Linked DNA regions of Cricetulus griseus. The protein of the gene in region 5 purifies or fractionates together with the protein of the main gene of each other region. This does not show direct contact. Links are inferred from orthologs where the notes say so. Each region holds a gene or a part of one and is shown on either strand. Other genes may lie near its edges. The genes, in order: Rpap2, Polr3e, protein POLR1D, Polr1e, Polr2f, Polr3f and Polr3g.

What was found.
Region 1: the proteins of Polr2f (region 5) and Rpap2 purify together in Homo sapiens (affinity purification with mass spectrometry; 4 studies listed by BioGRID and IntAct, with this or other methods). This does not show direct contact. The link is inferred for Cricetulus griseus from reciprocal best matches to the Homo sapiens genes POLR2F and RPAP2.
Region 2: the proteins of Polr2f (region 5) and Polr3e purify together in Homo sapiens (affinity purification with mass spectrometry; 4 studies listed by BioGRID and IntAct, with this or other methods). This does not show direct contact. The link is inferred for Cricetulus griseus from reciprocal best matches to the Homo sapiens genes POLR2F and POLR3E.
Region 3: the proteins of Polr2f (region 5) and protein POLR1D purify together in Homo sapiens (affinity purification with mass spectrometry; 4 studies listed by BioGRID and IntAct, with this or other methods). This does not show direct contact. The link is inferred for Cricetulus griseus from reciprocal best matches to the Homo sapiens genes POLR2F and POLR1D.
Region 4: the proteins of Polr2f (region 5) and Polr1e purify together in Homo sapiens (affinity purification with mass spectrometry; 4 studies listed by BioGRID and IntAct, with this or other methods). This does not show direct contact. The link is inferred for Cricetulus griseus from reciprocal best matches to the Homo sapiens genes POLR2F and POLR1E.
Region 6: the proteins of Polr2f (region 5) and Polr3f purify together in Homo sapiens (affinity purification with mass spectrometry; 4 studies listed by BioGRID and IntAct, with this or other methods). This does not show direct contact. The link is inferred for Cricetulus griseus from reciprocal best matches to the Homo sapiens genes POLR2F and POLR3F.
Region 7: the proteins of Polr2f (region 5) and Polr3g purify together in Homo sapiens (affinity purification with mass spectrometry; 3 studies listed by BioGRID and IntAct, with this or other methods). This does not show direct contact. The link is inferred for Cricetulus griseus from reciprocal best matches to the Homo sapiens genes POLR2F and POLR3G.

What each region holds. Positions count from the first base shown.
Region 1 is NC_048600.1:2,358,746-2,363,140, forward strand, and holds the start of Rpap2 (putative RNA polymerase II subunit B1 CTD phosphatase RPAP2), read left to right. Parts: upstream 1-1,317; 5' UTR 1,318-1,332; coding exon 1,333-1,459; intron 1,460-2,275; coding exon 2,276-2,321; intron 2,322-4,395. Other genes in the region: Glmn (glomulin), read right to left, coding at 218-275, 749-810.
Region 2 is NC_048596.1:79,735,407-79,739,730, reverse strand, and holds the start of Polr3e (DNA-directed RNA polymerase III subunit RPC5), read left to right. Parts: upstream 1-1,275; 5' UTR 1,276-1,434; intron 1,435-4,324. UniProt on the Homo sapiens protein: DNA-dependent RNA polymerase catalyzes the transcription of DNA into RNA using the four ribonucleoside triphosphates as substrates.
Region 3 is NC_048597.1:82,928,103-82,932,793, forward strand, and holds the start of protein POLR1D, read left to right. Parts: upstream 1-1,676; 5' UTR 1,677-1,777; coding exon 1,778-1,803; intron 1,804-2,607; coding exon of another isoform or gene 2,608-2,983; exon of another isoform or gene 2,984-3,163; intron 3,164-4,691. Other genes in the region: Polr1d (DNA-directed RNA polymerases I and III subunit RPAC2), read left to right, coding at 1,778-1,803, 2,608-2,983.
Region 4 is NC_048595.1:98,430,299-98,434,731, forward strand, and holds the start of Polr1e (DNA-directed RNA polymerase I subunit RPA49), read right to left. Parts: upstream 2,932-4,433; 5' UTR 2,883-2,931; coding exon 2,762-2,882; intron 2,309-2,761; coding exon 2,205-2,308; intron 1,653-2,204; coding exon 1,576-1,652; intron 656-1,575; coding exon 570-655; intron 1-569. UniProt on the Homo sapiens protein: Component of RNA polymerase I (Pol I), a DNA-dependent RNA polymerase which synthesizes ribosomal RNA precursors using the four ribonucleoside triphosphates as substrates.
Region 5 is NC_048595.1:376,267,753-376,271,275, forward strand, and holds the end of Polr2f (DNA-directed RNA polymerases I, II, and III subunit RPABC2), read left to right. Parts: intron 1-2,419; coding exon 2,420-2,491; intron 2,492-2,714; coding exon 2,715-2,805; 3' UTR 2,806-2,886; downstream 2,887-3,523. UniProt on the Homo sapiens protein: DNA-dependent RNA polymerase catalyzes the transcription of DNA into RNA using the four ribonucleoside triphosphates as substrates.
Region 6 is NC_048599.1:34,466,364-34,470,994, reverse strand, and holds the start of Polr3f (DNA-directed RNA polymerase III subunit RPC6), read left to right. Parts: upstream 1-1,784; 5' UTR 1,785-1,897; coding exon 1,898-1,959; intron 1,960-2,714; coding exon 2,715-2,832; intron 2,833-4,631. UniProt on the Homo sapiens protein: DNA-dependent RNA polymerase catalyzes the transcription of DNA into RNA using the four ribonucleoside triphosphates as substrates.
Region 7 is NC_048595.1:302,134,144-302,138,039, reverse strand, and holds part of Polr3g (DNA-directed RNA polymerase III subunit RPC7), read left to right. Parts: intron 1-2,007; coding exon 2,008-2,160; intron 2,161-3,896. UniProt on the Homo sapiens protein: DNA-dependent RNA polymerase catalyzes the transcription of DNA into RNA using the four ribonucleoside triphosphates as substrates.

The DNA.
Region 1 (4,395 bases), on a different chromosome or scaffold from region 5:
GATTAAAGGCCCACACACACACACACACACACACACACACACACACACACACACACAAATCCAATCTACCTTCCTACTCTTATGCTGTTTATTTACAAGTAAAAAACAAAAAAAGCTGGAATTATAGATAAGGTAAATAATGTGAGTGACCACAAAGTAATTAAAGATAATCTATGCCCTTGCCATATTTTACAGGTGGTTTTAGAGAATTACTTACACATCTTTTTATTATGCACTGAAGTTCCTCAACAGCCATTCCTAATAAGTGTCCTAGTCTTGATGATGAAATGAATACAAAACACAGTTAGTTGTGATACTATGTAAATTATGTTTCATAAACTGTTTCATTCTGAATTAATAGAAAACACATAAATACAATGTAAATTTTTATAGCTTAAATGGTATTACTGAACGCTAGTGTGCTAGTCTACTAGAACATTTTTAAAGCCTCTAGTGTATTGCCTAAAGAATGAAAAGAGATTTAAAAAAGAAAAAGAACCCTAGAGAGAACTTCCTAGAAGAACTTTTTTTCAAAAGAGGAAAGTATTCCTTTCATGAAAAAAAAAAAACAAAATCAAAAACAAAAACGGTAGACCTGGCATAAGAATTCTAATCATTAGGGAATCTTTAAAATGTCCCATTGATAAATACTGAAATCCAACACAATTAAGTCACCCAAATAAGTTGAAGACTCTGACGCCCTTCACCCCATGCCCCACAAGACCTGCCCTCTCCACAGGAACCAAACCTAGTCAGTGAGATCACCGAACCACCCGAAGAGAAGGCCTTCGGTGGTGACCAGCACAGCATGCGGCCCCGGGGGCTGGTGGAATCGCTGCCCCCCAGGCGCGGACAGCAAAATCACACCCTACCGCGCCTGTGGGCTGAGCCGAGGGGGAGCCATTTCTCCCTGTTTCCCTGCCTGTTTCCCTGTTCCTACTGGGCAGAGCATCCAGGCTCCAGCACCTCGAGGGGCCTAGCAGGCGAGCCTCGCGCTGCCAGGGTCCTGATGAGCCAGCCTGGACCAGCCCTAGCCAGCTCGTCCACCTACCCGCCAGACCGCTCGCCTTCTCCACCTCCCGCAGCGCAGGCCTCACTCCTGGCCCCGCCCCTAGGTCGGGCCCGCCCCCTCCGGCGTTCGCCCCGCCTCTGGGACCCCGCCTCCTCCGGCGCTCGCCCCGCCCCTGGGCTGGGTCTTCACCCTTCGGCGCTCGCCCCGCCCTCCCTGGGCCCGTCCCCTCCGGTGCTCGCCCCGCCCCTGGACTGGGTACACCCTCTCCAGCGCTCGCCCCTCCCTCCATGGGCCCGCCCCCAGCACGGTCCGGAAGACGCATGGGGGGCGGAGCCTGGCGGCCGCCAGCGTCTCACCTTCTGACTGCGTTTTCCATGGCTGATTCTGCGGTTCCTTTCTCGCTGGGCCCGAGTGCCCCGGCCTCCAGCACCTACCGAAAGGCTGCAGGTACGAACCGTAGCCTCTTCCAGGTTTGGACCCCGAGACCCTGGCTTGAGTCTACACTGCGCGCGCGGGCTGCTTGCCCAGTCTGCCCCCGGGGGAGGGAGGGCTCCGAGTGGCGGGTGGCTGCCCCGGTGCCCTCGGGAAAGAATCCCGCGGCCTCACGCGGGTGTTCCGGGGTCTTCCCCTGCGTGGGCCGTGCTGGGGACCCCAGCACAAGGGGCCAAGAACAGGTGGTGTTCAGCCGCCTCGAATCCTGGACTACACCTCCTTTTGGACTGCTTTGGGGCCTGGTCTCTGAGGTATCAGCGCCTCTTTTTAGGCAAGCTATCTAGCATTTGGGAGACCGAGAAATGTTTATCCTAAAGCTTTAAGTTTTGTTTTGTTTTTTATTTTTTATTTATTATTTATTTTTGTTTTTTGAGACAGGGTTTCTCTGTGTAGCAGCCCTAGCTCTGTCCTGGAACTACCTCTGTAGACCAGTCTGGTCTTGAGCTCACAGAGATCCGCCTGCCTTCTGTCTCCTGATTAAGGGCATGTGCCACCACCGCCTGGCTTGTTTTGTTTGTTTGTTTGTTTGTTTGTTTTAAAGAAGTACTTGATTAAAGCTGATATGATACATGAAAAAAGCCAGTCCCCAAAGAGATTTTAGTCAAGAAAAATTGAGATGTAGTTAATTTACAGAAGCAATGGAGTTTCCTTCTTGTCTACCTAGAAATGAAATTTGTGAGAGAAAAGGAAAAGCTGCCCACAGTGTGTTATTTGGGTAAGACTGCTACATCAAATGTGTGTTTGCATTTGCTGTTATCTCTTCAATTGTAGGAACTAAACAGACAAGTGCCCTCCAACCAGAAGATGCTTCCAGAAGGTATAGCCACTTTCCTTTTATCTCATTAATTGGATCAGATTTGTTTGGTTTTATTTTCTAGTCTTGGGATTTGGGCATTGAACTATGTACTGAGAACAAACTTATGAGAAGATGTAGGGAGCACTAATAGTTCTCAAAACTTTAAGGAAAGCAAACTGGAGGCTAAGGCTGTTGGAAACTGTTGGAAACATAGTGGGCACACCATCCCTGAATTAACCAAGCATTCCTTCCCCATCTCTTCACATCCATGCTTACTGTTGTATATGCCAGACTCACTGGAACCCTTCGTCTCCTAGCATTAAATGCAGATTTAAAAACAAACCAAAACCACCCTTTACTATCTATCTCTCATGTCACAAAAGATCTCTAAGAGAGGTATTGTCTGTGAAGAGATTAAAAGTCTCCGTGACTCAACACTTCAAGATTCACTAAACTCTTCTTTCAAAATATTTTCCAAATACAAGATAGCCTGTATTTGGGTTAGTGCACTGGGACTGAGAAATGTCAGTTAAACTAACACAAATGAATATGTCATCACCAGTTGCAGTAAGTGTTATGAAGAAAAAGGAGATATGAGGCAGGGCTAATGATTTAGATTGGCAGGGGGTGGCCTGTGGGTTTTCAAGACAAGGCTTCTCTAAACCCTGAAGAGAGTAGGTGTAAAGCACACAGTAGGGATGAGAGAAGTTCAGCTAGGGGGATAGTGTGTATGAAGAGCCTGGGGTCGGGTGTGTATAACATCCCCAGAGGGAGGGAAGGAGGCAGAATTCTGTTCATGTACTATCTACTGTGTCACATGGAGAAATTTGGTTTGTCTGAGCACAGAACAGCAAGGCAGTGCTTGGATGTAAGGTTTAATTTAGGGCGAGGTGGTGTGGAGGGTTAGAGATGCTAGACGTATTCGAGAACTGTTCAGGAAAGCATTTCCTGTGGAGCTGCATAATACTTTGCATCCTAGGCCAGTACTCTACCACTGAGCTACACTCCCAGCTCCAGCTAAAATGTATTGTGAGCAGATTAGCTAGGATGACAAAGCAATCCATAAGGTAATGAAATGGTGATTGATAACAGGTGACGGATCCTCTTGATTTATTCTGACATAATATACTTCCAAGTTCAATCCAGCTAAAAAAATACAAGCAAAAAATGTACATCAGTTCACTCATTTAATAGAATGCATTTAAAAGTTAACATCTGACAGGCTTGGTATTGTCAAGTGAAATAAATTGTTTTTAATTTGTTTTAATCTGAATGTAGTAAATACCGACAGATATTATCCATATGTGAAAAAGCTCTAGTTTTAAGAATATAAAGGAATCCCAAGACCAGAATGTTTGAGTACTGCTTCATACACCACTGTCTTAGTCAGGGTTACCATTGCAGTGAGGAAACACCATGACCAAAAGCAACTTGGGAGGGAAGGGTTTATCTGGCTTATACTTCCACATCACTGTTCATCATCAAAGGAAGTCAGGACAGAAACTCCAACAGGGCAGGAACCCTGAGGCAGAAGCTGGTGCAGAGGCCATGGGGAGGTGCTGCTTACTGGCTTGTCCGAAAGGCTTGCTTAACCTGCTTTCTTATAGAACCCAGGACCATAAACCCAGGGGTAACATTACAGGCAATGAGCTAAACTATTCCCCCATCAATCACTAATTAAGAAGATGCCCTACAGGTTTGCCTACAGCCCAAAACGTTATAGAGGCATTTTCTCCCATCAAAGTACTAACCAGGCCCAACTCTGCTTAGCGTCTGAGATCAGATGAGATCGGGCATGTTCAGAGTGGTATGGCCGTAGACTATAGAGGCATTTTCTTAATTGAGGTTCCCTCCTCTCAGGTGACTGTAGCTTGTATCAAATTGACATAAAACTTCCAGCACAGCCATATTAGTTTTCATCATTTGTGACAGAAGGAATAACACTGAGACAATACCCATTGGAAGCAGCTGTAGGTATCTGTCAGTCAGGAAGACAATGGCTCCAGACAGTGTGGTTGATAATTTGAGCCAGCAAGTTGATAATGACTTTTATTGATGGGTGCAAAACTGAGAAACATAATTTTTCATGAAGCTT
Region 2 (4,324 bases), on a different chromosome or scaffold from region 5:
AAATGCATCTTTAGCTAGATAACAAGTTCAAAGCCAGCCTGGGCCCAATGAGCCCTTAACTCAAAACCACAAATACACATATGTATGTGCAAAAGTATATGCAGGAATGAGTTTAATTCTAGGTGGTGGGAATATGGGTGACTTTTTTCACTGTGTCTTTTTCAGTCTTTTAACGTATGGGGCTGGTTTCAGCGAGTAAAGACACTTGCCTGCAAGGCAGACAATCTAAGCCGCCCCCACATGGTGGGAAGAGAGAATATACTCCAGCAAGTCTGTACTCTGACCTCCACAACATGCCGCCCCTATAAACAAATAAATAAAATAAATGTAAAAGCCTGTATGTGTACATCAACATGCATAGATACTTACAAATGGTAAAAACAAAAGAAAAATGAAAAGCCTGGTGAAAAAACTAGCCAGCTCTCTATGCGTTAGTATGTTAATAAATATTTATATACCAACCCATACACAATATGAACAAAACTGTTTTTCCATGGAGATACACATCCATAGAAACCGACAGCGAAAGATCCGAAAGGATGTATAATCAGCCGATAATGGTGGTTACGAGGAAACTAAAGCAAGTCAAAGGTTAAAGAATTATTATGTTGAATATTACGAAGATTATATGCGAAGTTTTAATATTGTTTGCGTACTAAAAATTTAAACACGTGACTTTTCAGACAGAACTGTGCAGATGTGGGGTCATGGTTCGCTTCTCAGAGCTGGGGTGAGAGTTACTGCCAGGATCAGTCTCCAAGACACCTAATTCGGGTTGTGTAGGTGACGGCGTGGTTTAACTGGACGCGTTAACCATCAGAACGCGATTTAAACTGCTTTTTGCTTTAAAGCTTATTTGGAACAAGCTCGGATATAAATAATTTAATTTTAATAGTTGGCGTTTTAACAATATTGTTTGTGACAATTTCTATCAGGAGTAGATAAAACACAAATACAACCCCCGAAAAATTATAAGAAACAAACAAAAAAAATGTATGCATGTGTTAGAACATTAAGTAGCTTCTTAGAAGGCCAGATGAGCAGCTGGGTAGCGTGGCCGAGCGGTCTAAGGCGCTGGATTAAGGCTCCAGTCTCTTCGGGGGCGTGGGTTCGAATCCCACCGCTGCCAGGATCAGTGTTTTTTCCTACCTTAACCCTGAGCTACTTTTTGCCGCCCCAGCGGCGACCTCTGCAGTTGGTTCTCGTTCTCTGCACCACGAGTAGCTCGCCGAAGGGGCGGGCCCGCGCGCTCTGGGGCGGGGCATTGTGGGTAAGAGGAAGCGCGAGGGCCGGCCCCGCTCCCCCCACGTGTCCGCCGGAGTTTCTCCAGCAGCAACATGGCCGCTGCCTAATAGGAGACCCGGCCGCCACCGTCTCTGCAGCCCGCGGGTCCCTGGGCCGTTGCCGCCGCTCGCGCGCGGCCCTGGCTGAGAGGTGAGTGCCGACTCGGCAGCCCCGGGGTTCCGGCCGCAGCCGTCGCACTCGCGCGGAGGTCTGGGCCTCTCTGCGGAGTAGGCCGGAGAGGCCCGCGCCGCTGCGTGCTGAGGGGCCGCGGCCTCCCGGGACCCGGGCGGGGCGCACGGGCAGCCGCCTCGCTTTCCCGGTCGCTCCGCACGGCTGGACGTCGGGGAGGCGACGACCGTGGGGCCCGCGCTGACTCAGGCCTCGGCCGCGCTGCCCCGCCCGGGCCTGGCTCCGGAGCCGCACCTGCGAGAGCACTGGTGCCCGGTAGCTTGCGGCTCTCGGAGGTGTGGGAAGGGCGCCTGAGCACCGGCGACATGGAGAAAGCTATGGGACGTCAGGGCCGCCCGCATGGGCCGGGGTCTGCGTCCTAGCTGAACCGGGTCAACCCTTGCTGGTGGTGCCGGGCCCGGGGCGCCTCATTGATTGATCTGTGCTTAAGCAGAGTCAAAAGGCGACTGCTCCTCAGACCCTGGGACTCTTCAGTCACGGGGGGTGGCGGTGCTTAAACCAGGTCGTCCTGCAGTTGTAATTGCCTTTAGGGTTTCTGGGTTTCGGAGCGAAAAGGTATCTGCGAAATGGGGATAACGTGATTCCTGTTACAAGAGGGTAAGATGGGTGACATCTCCTGCTTTTCATTTGTGGCTGTCTTCGTTTCATCCTATTTGAAGAAAACATGTTGCCACGTAGCAACAGTCATTCATTCATGGATGTTCCACTTTTCTCTTTGAAGCCGGTGCTTTTTTTTTTTTTTTATTGCCGGCTTAGGGATGAAAATAGGAAAGGACCCAAGGTTATGCAATTCATGCTTTCTGTCAGCTGGTACGTTGCGCAGAGGTGGGATTTGAACCTGTAAGGTTTCGCACGGGAGTCCGACCTCTTACCCACTACACCATACTGCCTTTTATCAAAGATGTGTGCAGCATAGTGGTTAAGAATAAAATCAAGACTCATTGACACCTGCTAGACGGATTTCTTGATTATACTGTTCCCTGGGGCTGTGCCCTTGGGCAAATCATAAGTTGGGCACTATAAATTTTGAATTGCACAGCTAATGAGAATGAATATTTTTGGTAGTATATTGATGCCAGACAGCATTAGGGTTTAGGAGAAGGGCTGTGAATTTTTTTTTTTTTAATTTTACAAGTAATGACCCTATAACAACGGTGAAGTATAATTATTATGTCTACTTGATGGTTGAGGAATATGAAGCATAGAGAAGCCTTCGTAGAGTTCAAAGTCTAGTGCAGAGGATAGCCAACACCTGAGCAGCAAATAGAGAAGTTCCAGGTTAGGACCACTCAGGAAATAAGGGATTGTGTTAATGGTGGAAAGAGTTGGAGGCAGCTATTCAAATTGGGTTTTCACTAAACCTGTCTAGTCCTGGAGGGAGGGGCAATGCTTACATTTAAGGAAAATGAGCATCCTGAAAATGACCTGGGATTCTTGTGCAGAGGTCCTCGGGATGCGTGGGGATTGGCCTGTTGGAGGCTCAGTGATAGATTACCAGTCCCTGAGGAGATGGTTATGTGGAACCTGGCAAGATCGTGTAAGGGCTTACAGGCCCATGAAAGGGAGTTTGGGTTTTGTTTTATGGTACAGTTGAAGGGTTTCAAGAAGAGAGCAATGTGAGTAGTTACTACAGAGACGGGAGGTCCTCTGGAGAGATAGGAAAGAATGGCCCTACGAAAGCTTTTTTTTTTTTTTTTTTTTTTTTAGCTTTTTTTGTTTGTTTTGTGTCTATTATTATTATTATTTTTTTTTTTCAGATGAGGCCTTGCTATATAATAGCCTAGGATGCCCTTAAATTTCTCTCCTAAGCCTTAAATTTCCTCCCTAAGCCTCCCTAGGGCTGGTATCGCAGGCCTGGGCCACCACAGCTGACTCAGGAGGCTTATTGGATTGTTGACTTTGAAGATTGCAGGTTAAGACTTAGTGAGCTGGGCCGTGGTGATATACGCCTTAAATCCCAGCACTTGGGAGGCAGAGGCAGGAGGATCTCTGTGAGTTCAAGGCCAGCCAGAGCTGTTACAGAACTCTTGTCTCAGAAAATAAAAAAACACCACCAAAAAATGTATTAGTGAGTGATGTAAACTTGGCCTGGGGGTCTTGCCACCAGCATTTTTATTTTGCATAGGCAAGGATAGAAAATAGAAAACATCACTGTGTGGCATGTAACAATCATATTACATGAAGTACTGTTTCAGCTGTGGCATTCCATGTATCTTCTGCATCATTGTTGGGAAAAGATTATTGTCAGTCATAGGCTGAAACTTTGAAAGCCACTGAATTGGCTCCTGTTGGTTGGGAGGCTAACAAGAGGTGATGACCTTTGCAGGTAACCCAATCAGGTGTGGTGCCCAGAGGGAGGAGCCTCTGTCATCCTGCAGAGAGGGCACCTGATCCTGCCTGATTCCAAGACTGGCAGAATCTCAGCCGTGAAAGAATAACTAGAGCTGAAGACTCTCTTAGGCCACAGCCTCTTTTTGCATGTGCTGTGTTTCATTGATTCCCCCTGAAGTCCTGTCTCAGTTGGCCACAAAGTACAGCTGCCTAAAGGGCAGGTACTTGTTTGACCCATATCTGTGACACTTGGCAGCCAGTGCAGATGCACAGTGGCAGCCACTCAGAACTGTGCTTAGATGGTTCAGATCTGTTGTGATGGCCCATTTCCTACCAGCCCATCCCCCCCTTCCGTTGCTTGGAATCCTTGTGGAGCTCCAAGAATCCTACAGTCCACATTTTCAGGTGCCCAGTTCTAGGGAGCAGGAGTACAGCAAGACATAAAGTAGACTGTGTAGCTTACAGCTTAATGGCAGGAAGGACAGATACAACATAATTGTCCCATGGTGATAAAGTGCTC
Region 3 (4,691 bases), on a different chromosome or scaffold from region 5:
AATTCGATAAAGCCATGCGGAAGCGTCCTTAGGCTTCTGGCAAACACACAATCTTAAACGTAAACGGGAATACTCCAATACTCCATTTAAAAAGTCCTTGTGTGAAACGTGGCAGAAAGCTTTGGAAAGCCAGAAATGTTTCCCAAGCGGTGCTTTTGTGCGCAAATGCTTCCAAACTGAGATGCATATTTTGGAAATGATCCTCCCCTTCCCCCAAACACGTCAAATCTGTCTCTAGCCTGAAGGGAAAGGTGAGAATTCTCCCGCAACAGGCTGGGGCGGGGAGAAGGATCTCTGCTCATCTCTTCCAGGGAACAAAACCAGAGGGCAGCCAGCTAGCGCTGCTTTAGCTCCCGACAACGTGCAGACGCGAAGTGCAAGAACTCGTCCCCAGAGCTCCCCGTTTTAAAAAGCGAGCGTCGCGCAGACCCGCAGCGCGGCGCCGGGAACCCGCACCCGCACCGGGCCGGGCCGGACTCCACGCGGCCCCCGGCGGTTCCCCTTACCCCAGCGCCACACCCTGTCACCGCCCGCACCTGAGGCGAAGTAACTCACTCAGGGAAAGCGGCGGGCTCCTCGCAGGAGCGCTGACGAGGACGCCGCCCGGCTCCACTCCGCCGGGACTCACCGCCGCCGATTTCCTGGCGAGAAGCAAAGTCCGGCCAAGACTTCACTTCTCAACCGCCCCTGCTGCCTTTCCCCTCGGGGGCGAGCGCAGGGGCCCAACCCGACACGCACCTGAGCCAATCAGCGGCGGAGAAAGGCGGGACTAAGAGCGGGCTCTGAGTCTTTCGGCCAATCAAGGAGCTCGAGGGGCCAGACCGGCCCTGCTCATCACTCCCGAGTTAGAGTGAGCACGCTCCGCCCTCCGCCATCGCTCCCGGCCGGATTCTCTCAGACACACACAGAGAAGACGCTCGGGAAGTGTCTGCTTGCACCCCGGAGCGCCGCGCCGGCCGTGGGACAGCTGAAGGGAGGGGAGGGCTGCGGGACCAGGCTGAGGGAGAACAGGTGGTGCGGGGTGGCTGACGTGTAGGTGTGCGCTAGAGGACAGCTGGGGTGGGGCGGGGACCCAGCCTGGCCAGGGTCAGGTGGGAACTGGGAGGATGCACCTGAGGGGAAGAGAAGGGCGGCTCCTTGGGATCAAAGGGGAAAGGAACCGCAGGTCCACAGTGGGTAAACCCGAGCTCCTGGGGAAGGAGGGCGGTGCTCCAAACTCATACTTCTCTCCGAAAAGAAAGACAAACGCTGCCTTGCACCTGATGGAGATGTGCATTTGCACCCCAGGGAGAAAAATGCTCCCTGTAAACCTCAGTATGGTCAGAAGAGTCATCTCTGCACACAAGTCTCTCTGCTTTTTCAAGGTTGCAAGGTGCCCTACGAAAGGCTCCAAAGGACTCCAGTCCGGGGGGGGGAAGACAGTCCCGGGGCAGTACCGTCCCTGGTGGGTCTAGCAGATGAGAGGTTCAACTCCGACCCTAAACAGCAGTGTCTGGGGGCGACAGGCGAGGGACTGCTTGCACCGTAGCCTCCTAGCTTCCGCAGTTCCAGGTGAGCGGTCCGGCCCGCACGGGGCGTGGCTGGGGCGTGTTCTGTTTTCGCCCCGCCCCTCCATCGGGTCCTGCCGCGCCGCTGCGGCTCCGCCCCCCTCCTTCCGTCATCCGCTTCTTCCGTCGGTGGTTTCTTCCTTCCTGCTTCGCCCGCATCTTTCGCGATATGGGGAAGAGCGTCCTTTTCGGCAGCACCACCTGAGGATTTCCTGGAGCCGCCCCTCGCGATGGAAGAGGATCAGGAGCTGGAGAGGTAAGGTTGGAGGGGAAGAGTGGAGGGGGCGGCGGGCCGGGCCAGCGAAGCGGGTAGCGACCGGGCACGCGGCCGACTGCGGCCCGGCGGGGCGGCTAGGCCTGACCCGAGGCGCTGGGCAAGGGAAGATCGAGAGTAGAGCCGAGCGGGTTGGGAAGAGGGAGGAGAAGCGGTGGTGGGTTTGTTTATACAGAAAAGCTCAGAGGGACACTAGCCATCCTGGAGGGGAGAGAAGTTGGGAATCCAGCTCTAAGTGCCAAACTGCCATCCCCATTAGAACTGCCTCGTGTAAGGTCACGCACCGGGCGGTGCTGGCATGTTAAGTCGGCTAAAGTTACTGCAACTCCGCTCTGCAGACTGCTCGTAAATTCTTTCTGACCGCCAAATTCTTCCTCCTATTAAACTTTTCACTTCCTTTGACTTACTAGTTTCCTTACCTCTTTCAAAGGGAAGCCATAACTGAGCCTGCCACCTTAATAACTTGTGGTTGCCATTTTTATGCTAAAGTAATCGTGTTTTTTATGCCTGTCAACTCCCATTTCATCTTTCAGCAGGGCCTACCCTATTATAACTCTGCCCCTTTCTTTTTCTCTATTCAAAGAAAGATTTTGCAAACATTTGTGTTTATTTTCTGAGATGACTCCCCTTGTGGGCAATATATCAAATGGAGTAGAGAGAAACTCGAGTTAAATATTTATGTATAGAAGTATCGGAGGCAGGAAACTGAGGTGGTGAATCTTAAAAAGCTTAATCACAAAATGGTATCCCATATGATCTCATTCTTACAAAAAAATATGTGTGTAGAAAAATGTCAGGATTGAAGACCTCAATGGCCGAAGGCGAGAGGAAGACAGCCTTGGAAATGGTCCAGGCAGCTGGAACAGATAGACAGTGTGTGACATTTGTACTGCACGAGGAGGACCATACCCTAGGAAATTCTCTTCGGTACATGATCATGAAGAACCCGGAAGTGGAATTTTGTGGTTACACTACGACCCATCCTTCAGAGAGCAAAATTAATTTGCGAATTCAGACACGGGGTACCCTTCCAGCTGTTGAACCGTTTCAGAAAGGCCTGAATGAGCTCATGAATGTCTGCCAACATGTGCTTGACAAGTTTGAGGCCAGCATAAAGGATTATAAGGATCAAAAGGCAAGCAGAAATGAACCCACTTTCTAGTCCCTCGTGCAGGGTACAAGGAGGATCACCCTCATGATGGTGCAGATCCCAAAGCTAGAGTTTGTGATTGAAGCATGTTCTGTCTTATAGGAAGGTGTGGTTCCAGCTGTTGACCCATTACAGCTGTTGGAATCTCTGCAAGTATATTTGCCTAATAAATTCTCTCTTTTGTTTAAACTAGTTTGAGTGGTTTCTCTTCCTTGTACCTAGGTGATCCCCAAGGATGGTGCCACCCCTTACTTGGACCAACACAGAAAGTGAACGGATAATTGGGCCAATTTGAGGGTTTTGATCATGGATTTTTGTTTGTTTGTTTGTCTGTTTTGTTTTTGTTTTTTTCGAGACAGGGTTTCTCTGTGTAGCTTTGGAGCCTATCCTGGCACTCCCTCTGGAGACCAGGCTGGCCTCGAACTCACAGAGATCCGCCTGCCTCTGCCTCCTGAGTGCTGGGATTAAAGGCGTGCGCCACCAATGCCCGGCTTGATCATGGATATTAAAAGGGCTATTCATTTCTGTATGATTGGAGTGCTGAGGAAGGGGAGATGGAATAAAACATAAACCGTAGACTGTATTTAAAAAGGCAGGAAAAGATTGGCAGAGGGACTTGAGTTTTTTTTTAACCATTTACTTTGTGTGTGTGTGTGTACCAGCATGCCATGACACAGGTGGAAGTCGGGGGACAACTTGTGGGAGTTGATTCTCTCCATCATATGGGATCCATTTAGAGTTTGTCAGGCTTGGTGGCAAGCATCTTTACCCACTGAGCCATCTTGCCAGCCCTGGATTTTTATTAATGTAAATGCATCCTTTCATATGATTGGTAGACCTAGTAAGGATGAGGATAATTAGAAGGACTCTTGAGAATTTTAACTTTTCATGAGAATTTTTTGTTGTTGCTTTCTTCATGAGAATTTGAATTGGCATCAAGGTCCATCTTTGTAGTATTTGTAGGATAGATAACCAGTTTACTGCTTGAGTTCCAGAGCACTCATGAAATATAGAATTATGATGAGTAAACCGAATACTTTTTTATTGTTTTGTGTGGGCATGTTCGTGTGGACACTTGTATGCATATGGAGGCCAGAGATCAGCCTTAAGGATGGTTGGTTCATCAGGAACCACCTACTTATTGTTTGTTTTGAGACAATCTGGCTGGCTTGGAACTCACTTTGTAAACTCAAAGATTTACTTGCCCCTGCCTTAATAATCTCCCACATGCTGGGATGAAGGGAGTTTGTTAATTAACTAGGCTACCTGACTAGAAAGCCCTAGGGGCCCCACCTGTGTCTGTCTCCTGAGCACCGGGGATTACAGACCTACACATCATCCTACCCAACTCTTTTATATGGGTTCTAGAGACTGAACTCCATCCTTGTGTTTTCACAGCAAGTTTTTTACCACCTGAGTTGTTTCCCTGGCCCCAATTTTAATGGAAAAAAATGACTTATCAGGTAACATCTTCATTCCTTAGGTAGGTATGTAAATAGAGCCCAGGGTTAGGTAGAAGAGATACTATTTGATAGAAAGTCAGAATTTGGAGGAGGAGAATTCTGTATGGAAGAAATGACATTTTGGAAACTTAAAAGATTAGCAAAGCATATCACATTCAAGAATCATGTGTTTATCTCTTCTTCAGTCTGTCTTGTAAGTATCCTACCCAAGTGTGACTTAATTTGCCCTAAATATCTGTCAGCTCTTGAGTCCAGTC
Region 4 (4,433 bases), about 280 Mb from region 5:
ATTGCTGGGTGGTAGTGTCGAACACCTTTAATCCCAGCACTCAGGAGGCAGAAGCAAATGGATCTCTGTGAGTTCAAGGCCAGCCTGGTCTACAGAGCGAGTGCCAGGACAGGCTCCAAAGCTACACAGAGAAATCCTGTCTCAACCCCCCCCCCCCCCCGCCCCGCCCCACAAAAGGTTATATATCCATATACCTTTTCAAATTAAAAAGAAAAAAGAAAAATGAGAACACTCGGCAAGAAGGCATCCTATTATGGTTGAGGATAAGCTGTGTTTGCCAAATAGACACCAAGTTCTGAGTTCACACCCCTTTACCATATAAACCTCTCACCATACACAGCACTCTCAAGTTGATGGCAGGAGGACCAGAAATCCAACGTCATCTTCAGCTACCCAGAAAATTCAAGGGTCTACATGAGACCTTCTCTCAAAAAGGTATATGTGGAGGAAGCCATTTAGAAAAAAATTACAAATGCCTTCTAGAAAACAAAAATGAACTAATCCAACAAACCCAAACGATGTATTTAACTGAATATTCATTTAACAGAGTATTCATTTCCGGAACCTACCAGCAAACAGTGGCTGCATGTTGAACAACTCAGCATCATATACTTCCATCTGCCCAGAGGTCTTATTCAGAATTCCCACAAAGTGTCTGAGGAAAAAAGTAATGATACAATAGTAGTTTAACCAAAAGGTTATTATTTACACAATCCTCTCTTTTTCCTATTCACATATCCCTAGCTTCTTTCTGCCAGAAAAAGGCATCCACTTGCTCACATGTAACAATAATCCCTGCACGGAGAGGAAACAGTAGGTGATGAAGAGGAAGGAGACATAAAATGGTTGTGGACTGAAAAAGCCACCAGATGGTTCTGATAACCAATCACATTTAAAGTCCCAGCACTTGGGAGGCAGAGGCAGGAGGATCTCTTGAGTTCGAGACCAGCCAGGTCTACAAGAGCTAGTTCCAGACAGCCTCCAAAGCCACAGAGAAACCCTGTCTCAGAAAACAAAACAAAACAAAACAAAACAAAACAAATTTAAAGCCACTGCTGTTAATGGAAACCCTTTTGAGGTAATAAGAATCTAAAATTAAACAGAATTTTGGCATGCATAAATTCTTCAGGCTGGATGATGCTGTGACACAGAAGACACCAGAGGTGAGCGAAGAGCAAAGTTGCCAAAGTCATTCACTCTGACAGTGCTGGAGGGCTGCTTTGTTCCAACCCAGAGGCCTTGAAGATACAAAATCCTCTTGTCCCAAGGCAAACTTGAGGCAAGCTTTGACCTGATGATCACACATTCTAAATCAGCAGACATAGCTGTCTTTTGGGATAGGACAGTCATACATAATGTCATAATGAGGTCTTTAGGAACTCGACAAACGCAAGCCATCTTTTCCTTTCTAAGGGTGTCTACACAACAGTATATGGAATTTGTGAGTCTAGAAACACAAAGTCTTAGCAAACCTGCAGATCTCAACTACCTCCAAAATGAAGACTGAAGATAGTGTTGTCTCTGTCACTACTACAACCCTCCTAGCACCTTTGTCACTGCCCAGTTGTCCATTACCTGCAAAGAGTGTTGCATTTGAGGGCGCCAGTCCCAAAATTGTTTCCAACATAGGACAGCCTGTCTGTTTCTGCTGCCTGAAAAACAAAGGAGTGTCCAATTTACAATCAGCACTGGGCATGGCCTCCTTTTGACGTGTATAGAAGTCTTAGAATCCAGGACCAAAATGACCAGCCCTAGATATTCTCCAGGTGACCTACCCCATCATATCTACAGGAATCTAGGGTGTCTCTGGGGGACCCCAAATACCATAAGGAAGCTTCAAAGTGATAAAGTTCTGGGGGGGGGCGCCACCTGGGATTGCATGAAATTAAAAAGCTTCAAACTGGGCGGTGGTGGCCCACACCCTTAATCCCAGCACTGTGGAGGCAGGGGCAGGCGGATCTCTGAATTGGAGGTCAGCCAGCTATGTCTACTCAGTGAGTTCCAGTATAGCTAGAGCTACACGGAGAAATCCTTTTTCCCAAATATGTGAAAAGTCATCGTTTCACCCAAAATCTTGCACCTTGGTGAAGCCACAGTCCCATTTGCTTTCCTCCTTTTCTCCCCTCAGGCCCTCCCATATCTGCCCACACCAAGGGCCTTCTGAGCCCTGCAGAGCCCAGACTACCTGTACCTGCAGCCCTTACCAGGATCCGCTGATTCTTCAGCCTGGGGTTTACCAAGTCGTTGCTGTTGTACAAGGTGAAGCGCATGTTGCCTGGATTCTGCAGCTTCCCATTGGAGAATTGGACTGTAAGTGTAACCCAAGAATGAGATGAGGGCAAGACCAGCAGAGTGGGGTGGCTTAGAACTACACTGTGGTTGGGAACCCAGGGCGAAGGCAAGAGAGCTCATGTCCCACTTTTAGGGAGACTGAAGGAAGTCCTGGTCCAGTACTAAAAAAAAGGAGATGGGGAGGGGGTGGCCTCTGTGCAGAAAATGACGGAGGGAATGTCATTAACTAGCAGAAGAAAGGGAACTCTGCTCCGTGGAGGGGAAAATGGGCGAATGAGAGACCTGGTGAAATCTCCAAGTCCTGGGCACTGCCCTGAGAAGTGTCCTCGCATGTGAAGTCACGACAGAGGAAAGGGAGGATAGCGGAGGCTCTGTCCCAGCTCCAGGCAGTGGGCAGGAGGGCTACGCGGTACCCAGATAGAAGGGGATAGGGCTGAGCGAAACTCCGCTCCGGTCCCGCAGTCTTTACCCAGCACAGCTTTCTGCCTGTCGTCAGGCTCCCCACAGTACAGCCACCTTGCACTCTGTTGCACCTCTGTCTCCATGTCTCTACTCTGGCTGTCCAGCCCGGAAGACTCCAGTGTAGCCATGAGCTCTCCGGCTCACACGCGGACGCATACACCGGAAGTGACACTCTGAGACCTGCCCAGAACACGCAAAACGCGAAACCACGCCTCTAGCGTGGTGGAGCTTCGTCCCGGACCACTCTTGGCTCTTTCCGCGGTGGCCACGCCCCTGGTAGGAGGGCCTCTTCGAGGTGCAGTACCTGATTGGCTTAGTGCTCCCGCTTACGCCCTAAGGTTTAGCCAAACGCCGAAACACAGCGTCTTCAGCCTCGGTTTCGCGTGGAGCTGCCTCTGACTTATCATCATCTAGGTAGAGGACTGTCTTTCTTCTCACCTTTCCAAGACCTGATAAGGCCAAGTTGAAATTTAGAATACTCAGGCCGTGCGTTGGTGGAGGCACTCGGGAGGCAGAGGCAGGAGGCTCTGTGGGTTTGAGGCCAGCCTGGTCTCCAGAGCGAGTGCCAGGATAGGCGTGTTCCCTGAGGCTGGAGAGATGGCTCAGTGGTTAAGAGCACTTGTTGCTCTCCCTCGGGTTCAGTTCCCAACAATCTTGTTAGGCAGGGCAGCTCCAGCTCAGGTAACTGGAGATCCTATTTCCTTTTCTGGCCTCCTTGTCACCTGAACACACATGGTCTCCACAAGCACATTCACACACACACACACACACACACACACACACACACACACACACACACTCACACACTATGCTTTGCTTTTAGCTGTCACAACTCTGACACACACACACACACACACACACACTATGCTTTGCTTTTAGCTGTCACAACTCTGACTGGAAGGTTACTTTCTTTGATCCTACCCAAGTGTTTTCAATTGATTGTTTTCAGAAAGGAAAAGGAAAGAGATGAAAGAGGGCTTCATTCTCTAATTATTCATCAGCTTCTTCTGTCAGTCTTTTCCACACTAAGCTTATTGGAACTTAATAACTAATTTTGGAGCTAATTAGAAACACATTTCATTTTAAATTATTTATTTAGTTAGTTAGATAGTTAGTTAGTTGCTAGCTAGTTCCCAAGAAGTAGTGTGTAGTAAAACAAAACTGCTCATTTGGTGGCCAAGTATGAAGGGGAAAGGGGCTGAGGTCCCTTATTCTCTTTAGGCTCAGTCTGTCTTCAAATTCCCACCTGAGGGTGACTATCAACTCCTCATCCTTCTGCCCGGTGCTGAGATTATAGACATGTACCACGCCAGCCAGTACATTTATTTCTTTCCTTTAACTTCTGCACCTCCAACTCCTGGGAGGTCCTGTGCAAATGGAGATTTTCAATAAATGTTCAATGAGAATGCTGGCAAGATAGCTCAGTGGATAAAGACACTTGCCATCAAGCTTGATGGTCTTCCCAGGACCCACCTAGTGGAAGAAGAGAGCTTACACAGTGTGTACAGGTGTATGTAAATGTAAAACAAATGAATATTGAACAAATGAGTGAAAAGCTAGGTGATAGGTGGGAATATTCATGAATCCTTGGAGTCTAGGGCAGGGAGTGAATCTCAAAGATACTTAGTAATGTTCTTGAAACCAGTTAGTATAAGGATTATACATAGACACTATGTTAA
Region 5 (3,523 bases):
CTTGCTGCCCATGGTTCACAGACCGCCAGACTGATTTCTGTCTTTGCTTAAGTGCTGAAATGGTTGGATAGCTTCCATTGGGTTCAGTGTGGCCTGCTAGCACCACCTGGTGGATGATGTCGCTCACTACTTGCTAACTGGGTGGTTGACATGCTTGTTGATTGGTGGTAGCTGCAGCACCAGAGTCACTTGAAGCCCACACTTGAACTTTGCGCGTCCATAGGGCACTGATGAAAGATGCCTTTCAGTTACTCCTGTCCCATCTGGAGAGACCAGGCTCAGGCAGGCCAGGACAGCCATGCATGGTCTGTAAGGCCTTATATAAAGATGGATTTCTTTTGTTTTCTTGGTGTTAAGGACTAAATCCAAGGCCTTACATGTTCTACTGCTGGCCATGTTTTGGTACATTTTGTTATTCAGGAAAGACACTTGGTTTCTGCCTTTGGGAAAATTCAGGCTTTTGAGGATAGCAGAGATCAGAATAAATAGTCAGTGTAACTCTCAAACTGGTTGGTCTCCAAAGTCACCCAGCAGGTCTGAAAGTACAGTCTTCAGAACCCTTCATTAGAAATTCTGTCCCAGGGCTGGAGAGATGGCTTTGCAATTAAGAGTTGCTGCTCTTGCAGAGGGCACAGGTTTGATTCCTACCACCCACATGACTAACAACCATCTGTTCCTCCAGTTCCAGGATGCTCAATGTCCTTCAAAGGCAAAACACCCATACACATAAAATAAAGTAATTAAAAACTTTTAAAGAAGCTGGAAGGTGGTGGCACACACCTTTGAGCCCAGCGCTTAGTAGGCAGAGACAGGTGGATCTCTGTGGGTTTGAGAACAGCTTGGTCTACAGAGCCAGTTTCAGGACAGCCAGGGCTGCACAGAGAAACCCTGTCTTAAAAAATAAATAAATAAATAAATAAATAAAATACAAAATCTGTCCTGATGATCTGGAGAAGCCATGGACCCTGGATTTGGCGTACTTCTTAGTAGCCCTGAATTTATTGGTGTAAGCCCATCCAGAGTTATCAGAGTTGTCTTTCTTAGGAGTTGACATCTCCCTGTTTGGTGTTGGTGCCTCTGCTTGGACCAAGCATCGGCTGGGGTCTGGGCACGCACAGTGGCCATGTGTGGTCCTAGGCTACTGGAAGCTCATGGTCTGCTGTGGACAGTAGTCTAGTGGCTTTGATGCCACAGAAGGCATATGTAAAGTAACGAGCACTGAAGACAGTCATTTCCAGAGTGGGGACACTGAGTCTCAGGCTTCTGGAGAGAGGGACTCAGAGGAGAAATGATATGGAATGTGCAAGTGCCTGAGCTTTTTTGCAGTGGCTGTGACAGAGTACTTGAGATGAGGCAGGTTCCTGGCTCAGTACATTTGGATCACAGTTCTGGGGGTGGGAGGGTCCAAGAACTAGGTACCTGCACCTGATGAGGCCTCAAGCTGCAACAATACACAGCAGAGTGCCACATGGTAGGACCAAGCAACCCCACTTGCCTGGACTTCTCGTTCTCTTCTTATAAAGCCACTTGTACCCTCACAGCGGTCCCACCCTCCTCCAGTACTGTAATCATGCTGACTTAAGAACACAGGGGACACTTAAGAACCGTAACACAGTGGAGGAGAAAGGCATAGAAGTTTGTTAAGGGTGCTTGGATGGAGGATGGATGGGGCCAGGCTGGAAGAGTGGTTGGATTTACATTTAAATTCCTTCTGGGGAAGTTGCTGTGAAGGGCTTGTGAGGTCGGACTGGTGTGGTCAGAATGAAGGACCTTTTCTGATTGAGTGTCACACTTAGATGATATCGTGTGTTACATGGGATATGCCATAGCACAGTGGTTAGGAGCAAGGCCTGTGTGTGAGCGGGTCACTTACCTTTCTGTACCTCAGTTTCCTTTCAAAAAAATAGTCAAAGTAGGTCTCCCCTCAAATAAATAGAGAATGTCAAGGTAGATAATCATGAGTGGCATGGAATCTTCTAGTCTTTAGGGTTTTGTTTTGTTTTGTTTTGTTGTTTTGTTTTTGTTTTGTTTTGGTCATCATTTTGCTAGTGAGGCGGGGAATATCTTTTTTTTTTTTTTTTTTTTTTTTTTTCCAGACAAGGTTTCTCTGTGGCTTTGGAGGCTGTCCTGGAACTAGCTCTTATAGACCAGGCTGGCCTTGAACTCACAGAGATCTGCCTGCCTCTGACTCCTGGGAATATCTTCTTTTTTAAATGAGGTTATTGGGATGTGGAGAGAAATCTAGTGACTTGTCCTTGGAGGCACAATTTAAATCCAACCTGCTGGTCTTCTCTGCTTTGTGGCAGCTCCCTGTGCAGTACTATGATCACCACTGCCTGCCTAGGTGACCTTGCTAAATGAGGATCAGGACACTGTAGTCACCTTCTCTGAGCTTTATCTCCTGTGTCTGTCCCTGCAGGATGTGTGCCCCTGTGATGGTGGAGCTGGAGGGGGAGACAGACCCTTTGCTCATTGCCATGAAGGAACTCAAGTAAGTGCCTCAGACAGTGGTCCCTTCCTCCAGAGCCCAGCATGCAGTTCTCAGGCAGTCTGTGTAGGGCAGTTGGTGTTTGATTCTGTTGATCTCTGGCTCATTCATAGTCAGGCCCCGGAAGTGGAAGGAGGGCATTTATGTGACACACATCTCTACCACCTGTCCTCTGCTCAGAGCCAGGGCACCAACCCTCATGTCCTGTGACTTCTCCCCACAATAGGGCCCGGAAGATCCCAATCATCATTCGCCGTTACCTGCCAGATGGAAGCTATGAAGATTGGGGCGTGGATGAGCTCATCATCACTGACTGAGCAGAGCTGCCAATTGTGCCTGGGCAACCCTTCTGTACCCACTTTATACATGTAAATAATAAATGTCACCTTCCCACCCAACTATGCCTGTTCTCTGCAGAGCTGCCACCTGCTGCTTCCTTGTTTCTGTCCTGCTGCAGAGAGTGGGCCCACATTGAGGTGGCCCTGGGACTGTTAGTTCTTTCTGAAGCACCAGGGCCCTTGGCCCCTTGGGCCCCCCCTCTTCCCTCCCTCTATCTCCCCACGCACCAGAGCAAAAGCTGCTGCAGGGGAGACACCTCAGCTGCCTTCTCAGCAGACAGATGAGTCTTTGTGCCCAGGGAGCTTGTTGCCATGGAAACCCCCAATTTCCTTTCCAGTGGGGACTGGCTGCAGGGGCTTCTCCCTTCTCAGGAGTATCACAGAGCAGGTCTCATCAAGCCAGCCATTGTTCCTAGGGACCTGCCTCGAGCTCTTATCAAGGACTCAGATCCCCTTTCAGGAGTGGTGCCCTAGCAGGAAGTATGGGGGTGCAGTGATCCCCCACTGTCCCCAGGCAGAGCCCTGCTGGGCAAGTCAGCAAGTGGAGCAAGGACCAAGCACCTGTCCAGCTGTCGTGGGCCAGTGCCACACAGTGTTCTCCATGGCCTTCTCTCTGGTCTGCCTCACAGACCTGAGATGGAGTTCCTCTCCTGCCTCTCTGTCAATGGACCCTCTTGTGCATCCTGCTTCCTCACCC
Region 6 (4,631 bases), on a different chromosome or scaffold from region 5:
AAAACTACGAAGTGCCTCTTTTTAAAAATGCAGCAAGCCAGTAAAACCTACAGATAATATCATTAATATGCCACCTACTGAAAATGCCCCATTTAATAAATGAAATGATTATTAAATTTCAGCTGTATGTCTGCTGTTGGGTAGTCACTGTATTACATGCTTTACACCTAATAAAGGCACACAGATGAATACGTCAGAAGACGGGAGCCATTTTAGATGGGCAGATAAATTGAATGAGGCAGAACAGAATCCACACTAATATTCTGTCCTTGGTTCCTTCAAGATCATTTATTTGCTCTTCATTGCCTTCAGCCAGAGCACACATACACACTCACTCTCCCGACTTCAAGGCAATTCATTACATAAGGGAACAAGTAGCTTTGCACGCATCAAGGATTATTTAGAGGCAGCTTTCAAAAGAAGGTCTACGCCCCACAGTCTTACCTTCGCCATTGCAGTATATTGCAAATCAAAGCTGCAAAGACTGCAGAGCATGCGTTCTCAGGAGAAACGAAGCTGACATGAATATAAACCAATAAACACAAGATTCCTATTCCTACTGTTTTGTAAATAACATCCAGATAGAGACCTTATGCGTCTTTTCTTTGATGTGGGGAGGAGTTATCGTAGCACAGCATTTGTACCTTGCACTGCTGTTTCAATTATGGCTACGTAATCAATATGGTTACATAATTATTCAATTATAATGTACATATTCATCCTATTTTTATAATAAACATTTTCACCCTCATTTTTAATTACAATTTGTCATGCAATAATAATTTGCTGTTCAATGGTGAGGCTATTTTTTTTTAATTTGGTAATTGGAATTCTGATAATGAACATTGCGTTTTGACATACCTTGTTCTGGAAAAAATGGGCTAATTAGATTTTAAAAGACGAATTGCCAGTTTGAGGACCAAGAATAAAAAAAAAAAAAAATACAGGTACTTCACCCTTCAGAAATGAGGCTGGACGCGGAGGGATTTGCCTATGATGACATTTCCTTTCCAGTGAGTCAGTTAAAATAAAGATAGCCGAAAAACTAGATGCTAAATAAACACAGAGACTAATTTGCTCACGGTTAGCTATTAGCTGCTCTTGGAAGGCTGCGGTGGTCAATGGATCTCACGAGGAGGAGATGAAGAAGGCTGATTCGCTAGTCCAAACCGCAGCCTGCTGTCAGTGTCATGCCACCAGCATCTCCCAACATCCGTCACCTGGACCATCTCCTCGATGCCCAGACCAGGACCCGCTGCGTCAAGCCCTCGGACTCGCGAGGCAGTCAATGACGCCTGAATCCCTCCCAACCGAATGGGTGAGGCCCTCCTCCTCACCTTCCTCCAGCCTCAAGGACACTGATAAGGACCCCCGACGTACCTTAGCAGCCGCCAACCGGGTGTGTCTAGTCTTCTACGCCCGCTGCACCACTGCACCTCTGCGGCAGCTTGCGTTACCAAAGACGCTGCAAGCCGCGCCCGCCTACGGGGAGCCGAGCCGATGATTGGCAGGGAAATCGACTGCCTAGCAACCAGCTCCGCCCTTGTCTCTGGGCTGAGGAGTCTGTCTGGTACCCGCCCCCGCCTTCGTCTGCAAGGCTTTGCTATAGGTATCCAAGAATATGCCTTCTCGGCGGCTGGAAGGGCCTGAAAGGTTGCGCTCCTACTCACCGTACGGGAGCCAGAGCCTTTAATCCGACAGACACTGAAGTTCCGGACAGCAGAAAGGAGACCTTGTGGCGACACTGCTGAGCAGAGCGGAGCAGGCACAGCACGGACGCCCCAGGCCGACCTGACGAAAGCCCGGCGCGACCGGACGAAGAAGGACCCTCGGCCGCCGGGCGCGCGCCTCCCCGGCCCCCGGGGCGACTTTTTCTCAGGTCTCCAAAACCGCCCTTATGGCTGAGGTGAAGGTGAAGGTGCAGCCACCGGACGCGGATCCGGTGGAAATAGAAAACAGGTAATGCAGTATTCCCGACTCAGGGTGAGCAAGTCAGCCGGGCAGCCGGACCCCTTCTCTCGTAGGCCCGCTTAGTGGCCGGAGCGGGCCGGGTGAGCACGCGGGAGCCGAATTGCGGGGTTCTAGACGCCCCCCTCCGGAATTGGGAGAGCAGAACTCTTTAGTAGCTGAAGAGCAGCGTTGACAGCTTGGAACCTTATGTAACTGGCTGCGCCAGGATTCTGTTAGGGTAGTGAGGACGCACTTGGAACCTGACGACGGCCAATGCCTGAAAAGAGACCCGCATTTCCCCTGTAGTCCTTGGTCATGTTTGAATTCATGTTCCATCTCAGGGTTGCTTGGTGTCCAACGGAAATTCCATAAGAGAACGTACGGGCCAAGTCAGGGTTCAGTTTGTGATTTCAAAGCATCATTGAGCCAAGTAACTTGAGTGAAGAGTGCCTTAAAGCCAATACTCCCCTGTAGCGTGCAGATATTTTTGAATTATAATGTAGGTAAAAGACAGCAACTTTCTCATCAGTTGTGGATAATACATTTATTACTCCTAAGGAGATATTTGAATTTGTTTGGAAGGGATAATTTTGCACACAGACCCCAGTTGTGTATCCCACACATCCCATCCCCGTATTCCACATTTGCCTTCTGTGACAGACCTAATGGCTTCATTTTGTTGTACTTATTCCCACTGATAATGTATCTCCCTCATTTGCCTTTTGAAACAAGCAAACGTAAATCATTAATACCTTTATTCCCAGAATTATAGAATTGTGCCACCAGTTCCCTCATGGAATCACAGATCAAGTAATTCAAAATGAAATGCCTCACATTGAAGCCCAACAACGGGCAGTGGCCATCAATAGACTGTTGTCCATGGTAAGGTGAATTCAACTAATTCATGTAATTTTTTGTATATTATGATTTTCCTTGCTTCCTGTCACATAATTGTGATGGTTAACTTTATGTGTCCACTTGACAGGGAGATGAGATTCCTAGGTATCTGGCTATATGCTGTTTCTGGGATGTTTTGGAACGTGGTAGTATTTGAAGTGTTAAACTGAGTGGGTAGGTGAGTGGGCACCATCCAATCTAGTATCAGCCTAAGTAGAACAGATAAATGGAGGACCAAGGAATTTACTCCAGACCTACTTTGAGTTCTTCTGTCTTCAGGACTCTTTGTTCTTAGGCCTTCAGATTCCATCTACACCATTGACAGTCTGTCTCTAAGGCTAATGCATCAGATCTATGCCATTGATCTGTGCCACTGGACTTTTTGAGTCTCTGGCTTGAAGGGGGGGATGTTACAAAACTTCTCACCCAACATAATCACATGAAGTAATCATAGCATGGTAAGCCTCTTTTTAGTGAACCAGTACACTAATTGAAAAGCCAAGATTGTGACTTGATTCCAAACCAGAGAAAGATTAAATTGTCTGAATTGAAAGAGAAAACAATTATGTGCCGTTTGACAAGATGAAGAAATATGTACAATTCTGTTATAGTTAATTATATTATTAGCTTAATTGACACAAAAGCACACATGGATGTAATTTGTTCTCACCTTCTTTTGCTTTCTGCTGATAGCACCTAGCTATTCCCTATAAAATATTTCCATTGTGATTTTTCTGTGAGTTATCACATAGCCTGTTCATTGGGTATCACAATGTCATTCAGAGCTTTTCAAGAGCAGGGAGAAGTCCCCCTGAAGGTCTTTGGGAAGAAGTATAGCCTCAGCTTCCAGAAACAATGCCATGGATTTTTCAGTGAAGCCCAAGAACCTGAAGCCCTAAAGCTTCTACTTCCTCCAATGTTTGAAAAACCCCACCAAGTACTGCCCCATGCTTTAAATCTGCTTATGTCTGTCTTTCTCAAGCCATTGAGTTCTCTTTTTCTTTCTTTCTTTTTTTTTTTTTTTTTTTTTTTTTTTTTTTTTTTTTTTTTGTTTGTTTTTTGAGACAGGGTTTCTTTGTGGCTGTGGAGGCTGTCTTGGAACTAGCTCTTGTAGACCAGGCTGGTCTCGAACTCACAGAGATCCACCTGCCTCTGCCTCCTAAGTGCTGGGATTAAAGGTGTGCGCCACCAACGCCTGCCCTGAGTTCCCATTTTCTGAGGGCATTTTGGTTTTATTTTATTAGCAGTTAGTTAAAGGAGTCCTTAAAACTTTAAAACTTCCTGCCTTGTATTCTGTCTAAAGCTTTGGCTAGGGATCAGAATTTGGCAAACTTTCTGTATGAACTGGTAATAAAATATCCTCTGTGTCCCATCGGGTTTCTGTCACAACTGTATTTCTTGTCATTTTAACAAGAGGCAACCACAAGCCATGAACAGGGATATGTACACATGTGGGTGTGGCTTTTTCTGATGAAGTTTTATTAGTAAGAAAACAAGCAGTGGCCTAGTGACTTTTGTTTTCACCGAAAGAAAAAGAAGTGCTGGAGATTTCTGGGCTTCCTTGTTATCCTTTAGGACTCAGCTCTGCTGCTGTCTCCAGGAAGCTACCTGAAGCCCCCAGGTTGCGCCGTAGTCATTTCTCTGAGTTTGTATCCACCCTTGTTTCTCTCTTAAAGCCAACCAGATAGTGTTGAAATCATCTCTGTGCTCCCTTTTTAGAATTTGTTTTGCCCTGGGAGTGTAGCTCGGGGGTAGAACACTCACCTAGCTTGCATGCTGCCCTG
Region 7 (3,896 bases), about 74 Mb from region 5:
ACTTCAGTTTGGCTGAAGTTCTTTATGGCTTTCATTTGGGTGTATGTGGTAAAGATAAAGATGGAGCTGTTTGCTTAACTTAACGCTATTTGATTTGGCAACACTAGAAATACAGATTCTCTGGTCTTTACACCATATTGAATGAATGCTGTACTTTCAAAAATATAGGTTTGTGGTTTGTATTTGTTTTTGTTTTTAATAAAACTATTTAGTTTATAATTATGAAATAATTAGTGGCTGTCTTTCCAGATCACAGAATATATTTTTCACAGAGTAAAATAAATTATATAATTGAATTTAGCTATAGGCCTTGTTACTTACGATTTAGTTAAATTAGAAAATGCACAATACCTTATATTAATTAATATTAATGTAGCATCGTGAGTGTGTCAGATATATCAAAGGTTTGTGAAAATTTTGTTCACTTGAGATTTTCCAAGAAAATTGACAGTTGAGAAATTGTACACAAGGTATTGCTGTAATAACTGCCAAGGCAACACAAGGTTTGATTTTAATTTGGTCTGCTTGAGTGAGGTGAGTTGCAAGCAAGATAGCTTGATTTATTTAAAAATTGAGTATTATGTGCTTAAGAGGTGGCTCAATAGATAAAGCATTCACTGTGCAACCATAACAACTGCAGCTCCAAGCCCCAGCATGCACACAACGTCAGGTGAGCCTGTAGCTACCTATAATCCCAGCACCTGGGAAACAGAGAGAAGGGATCCCGAAGGCAAGCAACGGGCTGCCAAAACTAGCCAGAACCCGTTTTACTAAATTAAATGGAGAGTGACTGAGGAAGATATCCAATGTCAGCTTCCAGTCTTCACATGCATGTCTACACACACGAACATATTAATGCACACCCGTGCATTCACACATATACAAACATTCAAAGGTGATCCATTTAAATTGGGTCTGTTTAATGTGGCCTTTTCTTTGCCTTTGATTTTCTTCACTTAAAATTGGAATTAAAATAATTTTTTGTTTGTTTTGTTTCGGTTTTGGTTTTTCAAGACAGGGTTTCTCAGTGTAGCTTTGGAGCCTGTCGTGGAACTCACTCTGTAGACCAGGCTAGCCTCAAACTCACATAGATCTGCCTGCCTCTGCATCCCAAGTGCTGGGATTTTAAAAGAATTTTTAAAGTAAATATTTAGGGAGTTAAAGAAGAGCTAAGTTGAAGTTATTCTGGATGTAAAATAGCTTTTCTTGTTCATGAGTAATTGACAAAGTCTTAAAGAGAGATGGAGAATGCCTACACATTTTTATTAGTTACTCTTCTAATTACTGGGTTAAGACCAATCAGAAATTAGTCATGTGAAGCCTAAATTATGAAGATGCAAAATGATTATTGTACCCAGCTCCCAGAAAACCTGTGAAATTCTGTCCCTTATGTAAAGTGAGGGTCATCTAACTTAGTGAACTGAGAGCAACAGAAATAAAAATGGGTCACCTTTGTCAATTGAAAAAAAAAAATGGCAGTCATGAGGTGTTTATAAAATTCAAATTGTGAGGTTGTGGCATGGTGAGTTTTCAAGTATCAATAGAATCATCAAGACTCCCCAACTCTGTTTCTCTTCCTTATTTCTAGGATGGCTCATAATGGCTGGTGTGTTCACTTACTTTCGTTTTAATCCCCTTTTCACAACCTTCCAGATGTATCACGAAGCAGAAAATCTTGGGAATGGGAAGTAATGAAAGACAAAGGAGATGGGAAGGGGATAAACTAAATCATGCCACACATTTTAGGAGGAGGTAGGATAGGAAACATGAAAAGCAAGCATTGTAGATTAGAATTCTAACCCCAGGTTAGCAAAGCCCAATGATTAAGTCACAAAATTGAAGAATGGGACAGCATGGTGGGTGACCTTTCCTTGAGTTTCTGAGGTGGGAGGCTGGCGGGCGTGTGTTAATTTAGGATTAGCCTAAAATGATCCATAATTCTTCTCTTTGGGCTGGGTATGTAAGAATAGTTGTTTCAGTGGAAATTAATGAATCTCCCTTTACCAGGAACTAGAAAAGAGAGGCGATGGTGAAAAATCGGATGAAGAGAATGAAGAGAAAGAAGGGAGCAAAAAGAAAAATAAAGATGGCGATGACGATGATGATGATGACAATGATGAAGCAGAGCAAGAGGAGTACGATGAAGAGGAACAAGAGGAGGTAAAAGTCTGAGGATGATGAGAGCTGCTCCCTAACTTCAGAGATATCCTATGGCATGGAATGTCAGTCAGCATACAAAACCACGCCTGTAATACTAGCAAACTCAAGAATAGGGTGCGAGGGGTTTGAGGAGCTGGGGCTACAAGGTGAGACCTTGTCACAAACACAAAACCCTAAGTTTATTGAACCAAAAATGCATTCTTATCCTGGCATCAGGTGCTTGGTATGAAATGATAGTAATACAAAATGAAAACCAGCAGATAAGAGTAACTTGATTGACAGCTTTTGCAAGTAAGGAATTAAGGAAATTGATGAGAGTAGTACAGTTCATACTTACCAACATAAGAAGCTAAGACAGCAGCTGAGGTACCAAAGGGCATAGGCACATACGTCTAGAAGGAAATCCCAACAAGGCCATCATGTCTCAAATTCCCAAGTTCATGTGGACAGAAGCAGTGTGACAGCTGCCGAGGTATTGGTAAACTAGGTTGCTTCACTTCAATTTTAGAATCAATATTTTTTCTATTTTTTTCACCTTTTTGTGATGTCTATAGTTCTCTTTCTACTGTTTTGTATATCTGCATTTAACATATTTAATCTCTTGTTGATCTCGTTCTTTGCTTTACAGAAGCTTCTCAGTTTTCAGAGGTCCATTTATTAATTGTTGCTCTCAGAGTCTGTGCGACTGCTGTTCTCTTTAGGAAGTGGTCTCCTGTGCCTATGCGTTCATGTGTATTTCCCACTTTCTCTTCTATGAGGTTCAGTGTGGATGGATTTATATTGAGGACTTTGACCCATTTGGATTTGAGCTTTGTTCGTAGCGATAAATACGGATCTTGCGTTCTTCTACCCATTGACAGCCAGTTATACAACACCATTTGTTCAATCTATTTTCTTTTTTCCATTTTATATTTTTAGCTTCTTTGTCAAAAATTAGGTGTTCATAGGTGTGTGGGTTGATATTGGGGTTTTCGATTCAATTCCTTTTGTCTACCTGTCTATTTTTATGCCAATACCAAGCTTTTCATTTTCATTACTATAGCTCTATAGTAGAGCTTGAAATCAGGGATAGTGATGCCCCCAGATGATCCTTTATTGTACAGGGTTGTTTTGGCTATCCTGGGTTTTTGTTTTTCCATATGAAGTTGAGTATTGTTCTTTCAAGGTCTGTGAAGATTTATGCTGGGATTTTAATGGGGGTTGCATTGAATCTGCAGATTACTTTTGGTAGGATTGCCATTTTTACTGTGTTGATCCTACCTATCCAAGAACATGGGAGATCTTTCCATTTTCTGATATCTTCTTTAATTTCTTTCTTTAAAGACTTGAAGTTCCTGTCATACAGGTCTTTCACTTAGTTGGTTAGAGTTACACCAAGGTATTTTGTTATTTATGGCTATTGTAAAGGAGATGTTTCTGATATCCTTCTCAGCCCATTTGTCATCTGTATATAGGAAAGCTACTGATTTTTTTTTAGTTAATCCTGTATCCTGTTACATTATGGAAGGTTTTTATCAGTTGTAGGAGTGCTCTGGTAGAATTTTTGGGGTCAGTTATGTATACTATCATATCATCAGCAAATAACGAGAGTTTGACTTCTTCTTTTCTAATTTGTATCCCTCTGATCTCCTTTTGTTGTCTTATTGCTATAGCTAAACTCCAAATACTATGTTGAATAGATATGGAGAGAGTGGACAGTCTTGTCTTGTTCCTGATTTCAGTAGGATCACTTTGAG